Caenorhabditis elegans: one gene and its partners. The protein of the gene in region 1 purifies or fractionates together with the protein of each later gene. This does not show direct contact. Each region holds a gene or a part of one and is shown in the gene's direction. Other genes may lie near its edges.

What was found.
Region 2: the proteins of str-13 (region 1) and ttbk-7 fractionate together in Caenorhabditis elegans (co-fractionation; one large-scale study listed by BioGRID). This does not show direct contact.
Region 3: the proteins of str-13 (region 1) and dylt-1 fractionate together in Caenorhabditis elegans (co-fractionation; one large-scale study listed by BioGRID). This does not show direct contact.

Annotation. Positions count from the first base shown.
Region 1 is NC_003283.11:2,725,456-2,729,212, reverse strand, and holds str-13 (Seven TM Receptor), read left to right. Parts: upstream 1-2,011; coding exon 2,012-2,215; intron 2,216-2,262; coding exon 2,263-2,353; intron 2,354-2,401; coding exon 2,402-2,480; intron 2,481-2,542; coding exon 2,543-2,939; intron 2,940-2,987; coding exon 2,988-3,165; intron 3,166-3,210; coding exon 3,211-3,311; downstream 3,312-3,757. Other genes in the region: G-protein coupled receptor str-33, read right to left, coding at 66-270, 316-677.
Region 2 is NC_003283.11:12,894,206-12,897,962, reverse strand, and holds the start of ttbk-7 (Protein kinase domain-containing protein), read left to right. Parts: upstream 1-2,090; 5' UTR 2,091-2,100; coding exon 2,101-2,166; intron 2,167-2,214; coding exon 2,215-2,298; intron 2,299-2,423; coding exon 2,424-2,490; intron 2,491-2,687; coding exon 2,688-2,902; intron 2,903-3,062; coding exon 3,063-3,487; intron 3,488-3,703; coding exon 3,704-3,757.
Region 3 is NC_003279.8:7,299,505-7,303,010, reverse strand, and holds dylt-1 (DYnein Light chain (Tctex type)), read left to right. Parts: upstream 1-2,097; 5' UTR 2,098-2,116; coding exon 2,117-2,158; intron 2,159-2,260; coding exon 2,261-2,468; intron 2,469-2,588; coding exon 2,589-2,659; 3' UTR 2,660-2,946; downstream 2,947-3,506. Other genes in the region: Inositol monophosphatase ttx-7, read left to right, coding at 42-119, 322-458, 572-676, 785-939, 984-1,104, 1,585-1,846; BAH-4 (Glycosyltransferase family 92 protein F13G3.3), read left to right, coding at 3,049-3,137, 3,199-3,423.

The DNA of each region.
Region 1 (3,757 bases):
GAGTACAAGTATGCAGTAGGTGCGTAGGCAGGCAGGCATCTCTGAACTAAATAAAAATTTCCCACATAAGCAACTAGTATGAAAATGGCCACTCGATCCACACCAATATTATAAACGTCTTTAAACTCCGTTCTTATATAATTATATGAATAGGTGTCCGGGAATAGACAAAAATATACTGATGCACTCCAAGCGAAACCAAAAAATATCACATAGAAAACCCAGAATACAAGCTTCCAACCAGTAAACCAAGATTCGAGAAGGTTAGCGCTGAGAAATCATATGTTCATTCTGTAAAATTTTGAATCAACTTACTTTACAAGAACCATATAGCGGTAAATAAATTGAACGGCAACGAATGAAATTAGAGAAGAATATAGTCCGGAGTACAAAACAAGAAGCATTTGAACTAAAGATTTAAATTCCGAAAGATCATTCGATAAACTAAAGTAGACAAAGGAAGCATTGAAATTATGAACAAATGGTCTTGCAAGCATTTCAGTACAGGAAAATATTAGTCCAAGTAATGCAAATAAAATTATCATGTACTTGTAAGCTCCAGTGATGTTTTTAGTGCGACGAGCAGTCAGATAGATCAAAAGGGAGTTGCACACCAATGCGGTAAGGAATGCGAATTCAGCAATTGTCCGGGATAAATCGCGAAGGTTCACCGTCATATTCGTAGAAATATGGTGTTCAATTATTATCAAAGAAGAATAAATATTGTATAGACAGTATATCATTTCCGGCAGAACCTTAATGGTGATGTGTTATATCCGTTGTAGACTTGTTTGTTCGTTTAGATAATTGTTGTGGTTGCATGCTCAGAAGTAAGAATTAGAGCTTGTACAGTGCATGTCACTGTTATGGGAGTCCCATGGGATCAGAGCTGTGCGGCAAATTTGCCCAATTTGCCGTTCTGCCAAGCTCGGTAAATTTCGAAAAAGTGGATTTGCCACATTTTCCGAGCCAGGGAAAATTTTAAAAATTTGCCGAACACACCACAAATTGGATTTTGAAAAATTTGATAGGAAATATTGAGTTAAAAAAAAACAACAGTAAAATTACATAAAATGAGTGAAATAGGCGTTGTTCAAAACTCTTTTGGTGCTCCTAGAAATATCAGAAATGTTCTCATTTTTCGGAGTTTGCCCAGCACGGCAAATGTGGGATTTGCCACACACTCCAGAGACATTTTTAATTTACTGAAGATTTTCAGATTCACACTCACAATATATATTTTTAATTGCTTCGATCACTAAAAGAGAAAATATACAATGTTCGCAGTCGACATCGATCGAGGACCGAGATGAACTCACATTATCCACTTTTTGGGTATTGCAGTAGCTTGAATACGGAGTCATTTCAGGTACAAAAATGGTCTTGTAACTTGGTGAGTCAAAAGAGCAGCTGACATTATTCCAGGATTGCGAAAACGTTTTCCACACTTGGTAATTTTCTGAAGTAACTAATTTTCCTAACACTACCTTAGCTTGGGCTTCCATGGGAGGCATGTACGGTTTTTTGACACTTGCCTCCAACCTTATCATGCCGGCCTGCATCCTGGCGTAAAATCAAATGCTTGGTGTTTGCACCACGTAGTGCGTAAGGTGGTTCGCTCGCCGCGGCCAACACTTTTCGGGTTTCGCGCCGCACCATACATCAGGCGCGAGGCAGGCAGGCGTTTTCATGGAAACCCTAATTTTAGCCATGCTTTTGAATTACTGTATGTGCTACCATCATGTTACGTTATACCTTTGTTCATGTTTTTATACGTAAGTAGACAGGACCGGAACTATAGATCTGGTCAACATAGGCTAATTTCCGTAACATTTTTATTCGAGAAGCTCCATAAACAGAATAAGATATAAAAATGAAATACAATACTTTCTAGCATATGATATTTTTTGGAGAACGAAAAGTGGAAATAATCACTATATATTCTACTGAATAATAGTTATTGCGATGAAATCAAAATCTACCTTTTAATAATTGTCAGAGTTTCTCCAAAATGTCTGGATCTTATCTTTTTTGGATTCATGTGACCCATTTTATTCCAAAACTTGGATTTGTTGCAACATTTATGTTTGGCATGTGTCTACTGTCCTTGAACTATCTCGGTGCTCAGAAAAATTTCGGATCTTACAAGTACCTGATCACTGCATTCACAATGCTGGGAATGACTTTTGCGACAGTAGAAATTATAGTGTACCCGGTAATAATATGCTTTGTGGGAAACATGTGTAAGTATAATTGTTTCAGAATGTTCACAACTACAAAGCCAGCTTTCTGTTCTATAGTTTTGAGGAATCTTTTGGTTTACGTGGATCGTGGTCAAGAAATATTCCTCTGGGTTAGGCAAAACTTTTTTTTTTACTTTAAAATTCAATTTTTTTTTCAGCAATTTACACATTTTTCCATTCCGCAACCATGTCTCTATTATCAGTGCAATTCATTTATCGATATTGGGCAGTTTTTGAGTAAGAAATTTCACAAATTCAGAAATTCGATTTCAAATTCGAAACAATTCTAAAAATTTCAGCACGAACAAACTTGCATACTTCGAAGGATGCAATTCTCTTTTTTGGTTTTTCTATTGCGCATTTTTTGGCTTTCAATATGCTCTTGGTACCTACTTTTTCTTAGCAAGAGACGAAATAACAGATGACTACCTTCGTGAAGATATGCTTCTTAGATATAATGCGAATATAACTGAGATCCCAGCAATGGCAATAGTTGCCTATGATCCTGTGGATGGATCAGTAAGATGGAGAAATGTTATAGGAATATTGAACATTTGCTCAATTGTCAACTTTCAATATGGTGTCATGATCTACTGCGGATGGTCGATGCACACAAAAATGGAAGATAAAATTAAGAATTTTTCGGAGACTCTTAGAAAACTCCACAAACAGTTTTTCAAGACTCTGGTGCTCCAGGTTAATAGTTACTCCTGATTATATTTTCCTAATACACATGAAGTTCAGATAACAGCTCCTACAATCATATTATTCATTCCCATCACAATTATAATATTTCTTCCTCTGTTCAACTTAGACGTCAGTCTTCCATCTGGTGTCATGCTATGCAGCTTCGCATTGTATCCTCCCACTGATTCATTCATCGTCATGTTCGTTGTGTCGGAGTATAGAAGTACTGCCAAAAGTGAGCATGTTGAAATAACAAAAGTACTTAATCATCATGTTTTAGGAACTCTAGCAACTTTTTCAAACGGCATCAAAAAATTTAAACAGTCTAGAGTTGGTGGAATTCCATCTGGAACTATAAGTTCTCGTTACATTGCCTCATGACTTCTTAGCATTAAAAATTGATCTCTTCTCCCCGCAACTTCACGGAATATCTTTTAGTTCGTTTATGGCTCATTGGCATTTTCTTTCTCTATAGTTTTTTTTTTTTACCCGTTTACATTCCATCCCCAACTAGAAAAGGAACCCTTTTTGGTTCTAATAATCTTTAATAAATGTTTTTATCTGGAAACACTGCAAAATTCCAATTAACTAATTTGGAGAATGAAAAATAATTTTTGAAATTTGCCGCACCCTCCTGAAACATATTTATTTAACTGAAAGTTTTCAGACTCCTCCTTATGGATTTCAAAAACATTTTCAAATAGAGTCTGGAAATGTTTTCTGTGTTGTTTCATTTTTACCTCAAATCTGCGTGTTTCACCTGTCATCGAAAAATATTGTTGTATATAAATTTATATCCAACTTGTTTTCTCTCGGCTTGAATTTCC
Region 2 (3,757 bases), about 10 Mb from region 1:
TCTTTTCATTGCAATATATATATATATAGTTCCTTCTTTCAACTATATTTTGTTCAATATTGTCAGCTGAAATCCAAAATAATCAGGCAACAAACTCATTACTTTTGCCTCTTCTTCCGCTTTCCTCAGGAGGTCTTGAGCAAAAAAGAAAACAAGCTTGTCAATTGTGATAAATGCTCGTTTTTTTCTGGTTCTTACTCCCTGTTGTTTTAACTCTGAAAATTGCTTGACTCTAATCCCTGCGCCTCTTTTAATCCTTTTCTCATTTTCCGGCATTTCGCAACCTTCAACTTTATGTCATTCTCTCTCTTTAGTTCCGATGCCCATCGGATCTTTATCTTCTGATTATATTGTCCTCCCCCTATTTTCCGATGGATTCGTTCCGCTCTCAATTATCCTGACCCGTGTTTCCCGTTCACTTACGGCCGAATAGCTGGTCCCCTTAATGCACTTTACACCCCTCTTTTCTCTATTTTCTACGCACTCTTTTCCTATTTTCTTGTCACCCTTCTTTTGGTTCATATATTCAAACAAAACCCGGGGACCCTCTATTCCACTCATTCTCTCCCGGTTAAGTCCCGTATGTCTCTCTGTCTCTCATTTACTTTACCAATGTTATTTATTCATGGTCATCCAAACAAAACGGCCGGTTCTTCGGGTCCTTTTTACGTAGAATAGCACTCTATAGCCTTCTATATTCAACTTTTCACCATCATCATCATCATCAATGACCATTTATTAAAGAAGTATTTTTAGATTTCTCACCTTTTCTTCCATTTTCGAATCTATTTGCATCTCTGCACCTTGTGCACCACATCCTCCCTCTAATCGTGGGAGTTTTCAGTATTTTAGTCCTTGTGCCACGTCAATCAAGATAGGGAAAAGAGCAGGCGGCTCACGGGAGCTTCTAGCTCAACAATCCGGGAGAATAAATGTCAGCTGTTCCTGGACGCGGGCATTTCTCTTTCTCGAGATTTGTCCCGACAGGGGGGGGGGAGGCTATCGATTTCGTTTTTATATTTATATCGTTTTGTTCATTTCTTCCGATGACATTCAAGAGAATAAAAACAAGAAATTGAATGTGATGATCGGAAAACAAATGTTTAATAATTTTCTGAATACTTTTAGCAGTTAGTAAATTGTTTTAAATTTACTTTCTTGATTTTCTCTCGAATTTTCACGATTTTTGTTTCATGGACAGTTCGTGGAAGTTATCTGCATTTGGCGCTAGCTTCTTGCCCAAATTTGGCTTGAAAAAAACTGGGCCAAAAAAGAAAAAACTTAGCGCTTTATTCCGGAATTATTAAACTTTATTAGGCTTTTTCAAAACATTGCCGAAATGTGGACAAGAACTTTGTATCAGAAACTAATTCCTTTTTTTTCTGTCTGTTTGTGGAAATTATTTTGTTTTCAAATATTTCGACGGCTCTTAGATTTCCATTTCCGTAATGTTTTACTTTAGAATTTTATTTCGTAAAATACTTTAAATAACCCCCATATGGTAATTTCTGGCAACTTAACTTGACAAATCGTGAGCGTATAAATCAAATAAGCTTTTGCTTGGTGCCACATACATAGTGCCCTCTATTTACCCGACTCACTTCCAAAATGGGAAGAATGCGTTTTTAAATGGAAGAAAGTAGTAGGTGACACGTCGGCAATGCGCGGCGAGATTTATGAGCCCCATCGGACATCTCTTCCTTCTTTCTTCGAAGATTTTCCAAAGCTCTTCCAAGGTTGCCTCTCTTGATACTTTTTCGGCTGGTCATTTTGAAGAAGGCGCTCCTTTTTCTTTGTGTGTGCTGCTCCCACAGCTTCTCCATGTCTACCCCCAACCATTTTAGAGAATATATTTGGTGCATTTGTCACTTTTCCCTCCTACCGCCTTCTTTCTTCGTCCAGCTTCATCTTTTCTTGCGCCCCATCTGTTTTCCATTCGACTTTTCTCATCTCTTCACGAAATATGCCATTCTCATCAACCACTTCCCCATTCGTTTTGCTTTTTTCTTATTGCGGTCCGATAGCCGTTTCATCGTTCAAAGATTCTCTTTTTCATTTATTTTTCTTATTTATTGAATTTAAATTTTCAGAGATGAAATAATGACATCATCATCAGAAGGAGAAATTCTTCAAGTTGGACAGGTCATCAGAGAACGATGGAAAATAGTGAGTTTCTATGTTTCAAGCTACGGAAACTAAAAGTTTTGGTTTCAGAAAGCGAAAATCGGTGGTGGTGGATTTGGGGAAATCTACGAAGCAACAGATGTTCAAAATCACCATGAACGGGTAGCGATCAAGGTATTTTTAGGATGTTTTTTTGAGAGAAATGTCTGCTTTTTTAATAGAAATACCCTAATTTTCCTGCACATGTATTAAATTTCTTTAAATTTTGAAAACCATTTTTTTTATCAATTCATTTTCAGGTCGAATCAAGCAAAGCAACAAAGCAAGTGCTCAAAATGGAGGTCGCAGTTCTTCGACGACTTCAAGGTTTGTTGGCTGTTTATGACGTATTTCGCTTTTTTTTTCCTAGTTTTTTTTTCAAGCCGTCATCAAAAATCTAATTACGCCTGTCTCGTTGGCATCTTAGCATCTCGTTTCTGAGAAATATTGAAAGAAACGGAAAATGAGAAAACAAAATCGTTTTACACAATAAAAACCTGTGATATAAAACCTCCTTGTTTCAGGAAAAAAACACGCGTGTAAATTCTACGGGTGCGGACGAAACGATAAATTCAATTATTTGGTAATGAGTCTGCAAGGAAAAAATCTGGCTGATTTGAGAAGAGAAGCACCGAAACAGTGCTTTAATTTGAGTACAGCAGTTCGTGTTGGAATACAGATTTTGAATGGAATTCGAGAAATTCATTCAATTGGATTCTTGCACAGAGATGTGAAACCAGTAAGTTAAAGTTTGAAGTTTTTTTGAAAAAAAAACAATTGAGAAATTGATTTTGCAAAAACTATTATCTTAAGGCCTAATGAAATTTTAGTCAAAATTATTTTTAAAAAATAGATGTCTGAAATAAATAAATATTAATCTGTAAATTAATCATTTTCAGTCCAACTTTGCAATGGGACGCACATCACAAACAATGCGAAACGTGTATATGCTTGACTTCGGTCTCGCTCGTCAATATCTGAATGCAAAAGGAGAAATCAGAAGTCCTCGAAGTGCAGCTGGATTCCGTGGAACAGTTCGATATGCAGCAGTAACTGCTCATAAAAATAAAGAAATGGGAAGACAAGACGATCTTTGGTCTCTTTTTTATATGCTCACTGAGTTCTTACAAGGACAATTACCATGGCGAAAGATTAAGGACAAGGATGAAGTGGGAAAAATGAAGGAAGAAGCCGATTTGGTTGTTCTTCTAGATGATTGCCCACATGAAATGCATCTTTTTGTTGCACATTTGAAAGTTTTAGGATATGCAGATACGCCTGATTATGTATACTTGGAATCACTTCTTAATAAGATTGTCGCTGAGTGAGTTTTTGAAAATATACAGTTGACTTCCATAAAAATCGTTGAAAATTTTGATTCGATGTAAAGTACCGTTTTTTAGTCACAAAAATTGATGCCTTTAAGGCGACCTACGCTTTCCCAATGCGTGCTTACTGCCTTTTAAAATGTTTTAGATGACCCCATATTATAGCAGATGCACTTATTGTCATAATAAACTCTTAAAATGTATTTTTCTAGAAATGAGATCAGTTGGGACGAACCGTACGACTGGGAATTAGGATACGACAACAT
Region 3 (3,506 bases), on another chromosome or scaffold:
TGGTTCCCTTCAGCTCTTTATTCATTGATTTTAAGTTTTAGATGGTGTTCCAACCAATCCACGAGGAAGAGCAAGTTTTCGTCGACTACGCCATTGAGTTGGTTAAAAAAGCTGGAACGGTGAGTTGAATTCGGATTAAAAAATCAAACTGTTTCCTAAAACAACAACGTCGTTATTATCTTTGTCTTATTTTTGTTAATTTTACAAATATGCACATTTAAATCAAATGCGTAACTCGAAAAACAACATTCTCTATTCCTCAGTTACGAAACAAATTTTATTATTTGAAAAAACATCAATATTCGAAAAAAACATTTTCAGCTCGTCCGTACCGCGTTTGACTCCCCGGAAAGCAAGGTTGACACAAAATCATCGAATACTGATTTGGTGACTGAAACTGACCAAGCTGTTGAAAAGCTTCTCATCGAAGGGCTCTCCGAGAGATTCAAAGGACATAGGTAAGAGCAAGGAATTCCCACGGTCCGCTCGATTTCACTCATTGTCTCCATGACAACCAGTTGGACTTTCTTTTTCAATCGAGTATTTACATAAATTTACTATTTTGATTCAGATTCATTGGCGAGGAATCTGTAGCCGGAGGTGCGAAAATTGAATGGACTGATGCACCAACATGGATTATTGATCCGATTGATGGAACTACTAACTTTGTTCATAGGTAAGATTTTTTTTAAATCGGACTCTTCAAATAATGGCAAATCGCGTTATTTAATTTCTAATTTGGACTCAAATTTTTCTCGAAAAACAAATTCTTATGTTATTATAGAATCCCTATGATCGCAATCTGCGTTGGACTTGCAATCAAAAAACAAATTCGTGCTGGAATCGTATACAATCCAATCACTAATGAACTTTATCTCGCTCAACTCGGAAAGGGAGCTTTCAAAAATGGATTTCCAATCCGAGCATCAAAGAATCAATGTAAGTAATTGCACTTTTCTTGTCATGCACCCTGCTTTTTGAAGTGCTTTCAAAGGGAGTTCTCTGTCAATCTCTCGGTCTGCATAATCGTGTTCAGTTCGGCGATCGCTGGCTCGACATTGCCCAGTCAAACATGCGAAATCAAGTGATGGCTGGTGTGCGAGGGTTTGTTTTAATTTTTTGGTCTAAAATTGATTACTTTTTTACAAAAAATATACCTCCACACTTCCCGCGCTGGTTTTGCACGTTTTACTTTCAATTTTATTTACATTCACATAGAAACGTTGCAAATTCCAGTCATTGCGGAAAGTGTGCTCATACTTCAACTTGGCTCAATTCGATCTCCTGTTATGCAGAAATCATTTGTTGATTCTTACAAGACTGTTATGTTCGACAAACAATGTCACGGGTACTTATAAATATTTTTTATATTCTTGTCGAAATCTAGTGACTTTCTTGAACTGTGCGTTTGCAAATTTTTTGAAAGTTTTACTAAAATTGAGAAATGGATAAGATGGAAAAGTTAGATGTTGGATGGACAAAGTTTAATATGAAAAAAATCACGAGGATGATGTGATATTATTATTTTTAATATTGTTATACATAATAAAAGTTATTTGAAAAAAATCCAAGTTTTTTTTTCAGACACCGTTCGTTTGGCTCCGCCGCGATCAACATGGTGATGGTTGCACAAGGAAGTTGCGATGGATATGTTGAATACGGGATTCACGCTTGGGATGTTGCTGCTCCTTCTATCATTGTCACAGAAGCCGGAGGTGTTGTCACTGATCCAACTGGATCCCCATTTGACGTCATGTCAAGAAAAGTTCTCTGCGCTGGAACAGCTGAACTCGGACGCGATTTATCTGCATGCCTCACTCATGTCGATTTCGAGCCGGAAGCCTAAATATATATTTAACTATTTATTTTCAAAACTCACATATTGTGACATAACATTCCTACCATAACATGCATTATCTGTATTTCCAATTTAATATTAGTTTTTTGATTTTATTTTCTAGTCGTATGTATTCTCGTTTTATGAGAATAAATTATTTAAAGATGTTTATATCTTAATTTCTGATACTTCAATTGCCGTTTGAGCGCACTTGATTTATTTATACTGTCTCTTTTTTAATAATTAAACTCAATATTCAGCTCTCACAAGCTCAACATCATGGCTTTGGCAGAGGAGGACGTTCACATGATCATCAAGCAGGTACCGATATTTTATATGTCTACTGTATTAATTCTTTGAAAAACTATAATTTTTGAGTTGATTATTGTTTATTCACATTCTCGTAATCCAATAATCTTTCAGGTACTCGACGAGGTTGTAGGCGCAAGCACCCAGTATACCCACAAGGACAGTGTTCAGTGGAATCAGAAGGCCGTCGAACAAATAACGAAGAAGCTAGTGGCAGCGGGAAAACCATACAAATATGTGGTTACCTCGTCGTTCCTTCAGATCTCGAGCGGTTCCGGTCTCAATGTTAGCACGATTTCCTACTGGAATAAAGTCACGGATTGTGAGTTAACATTTTGTATTAAAACATTAAATAATAAAGAGGGAAATAAATTTATTACTCACAAAGTTCTGATTTTGAAAGTTGGTATTCAACTTATAGCTCAAAAAATCTCATTTTCAGCCTCGTACATGTACCGTTGGGAAGCCAAAACAATGCTTGCAATCGTCTATGTTTTTGCAATTGCAATTTAACAATCCACAGCTTCATCTTATATGTCTACTCTGGTTTTCCTCGTTTACCGCCAATTCTCCCCTTATTTCTGATTGTTTTTTTCTTCCCCATTCATCACACACTATCATGTTTTATATTCAGACCTATTACCTGTCCAGAAAAACTGAGCTGAAAAAATCCGGACGAGCAGCTCCTTCACATTCAAAATCTTCCATCATTTCCCCCACTCAATTCATTTGTTTTGTCTTTGATTTTCAAATTTTTTGCCTTATTATTTTATTGCTAAATTAATGAAAACTGTTACTCCTCATTTTGACCGTCGCACTCATTGAAGGTAGTTCGAGATTAGATGTTCAGATAACTTGCGGGACGCGTTAGGACACAAAACAAGTGCGTCAGATCAGCCAAAATGCTTCCACGAATAATTCCATCGGTTCTGTCTGTGGTATTACTTTTTTCGTTTTTATTTTTTGTAACGGCAGTCTTACTTCAATTTATGTAAGTATTGATAGTTAAAAATTATCACCGTTCAAAAATGATTGAAACGATAAATTTCCAGTCGAATCGATTCACCAGATCTTGAAAATGAAGAAGTATTTCATTCGGCACCTTATGATATATTCATTTATTCTGCATTTTATTATAATAAATCAAAAAGTCTCGGAGATTCTTCAATGGTTATTCTGATGACTGCTGATTTTGAAGTTTTGGAAAAAGTTAAAAATCTTGAACTTTTGGGCATAAATGACACGAGTCGAGCTATGACATCTGCTGAATTGGAAAGGTTTGTGTATTTAATTTCTTATTTTTGTGTTGATTCGAAGTTTTTGAGCTTTTCGGCACCAATTAAATAAGATTTGAAAATTC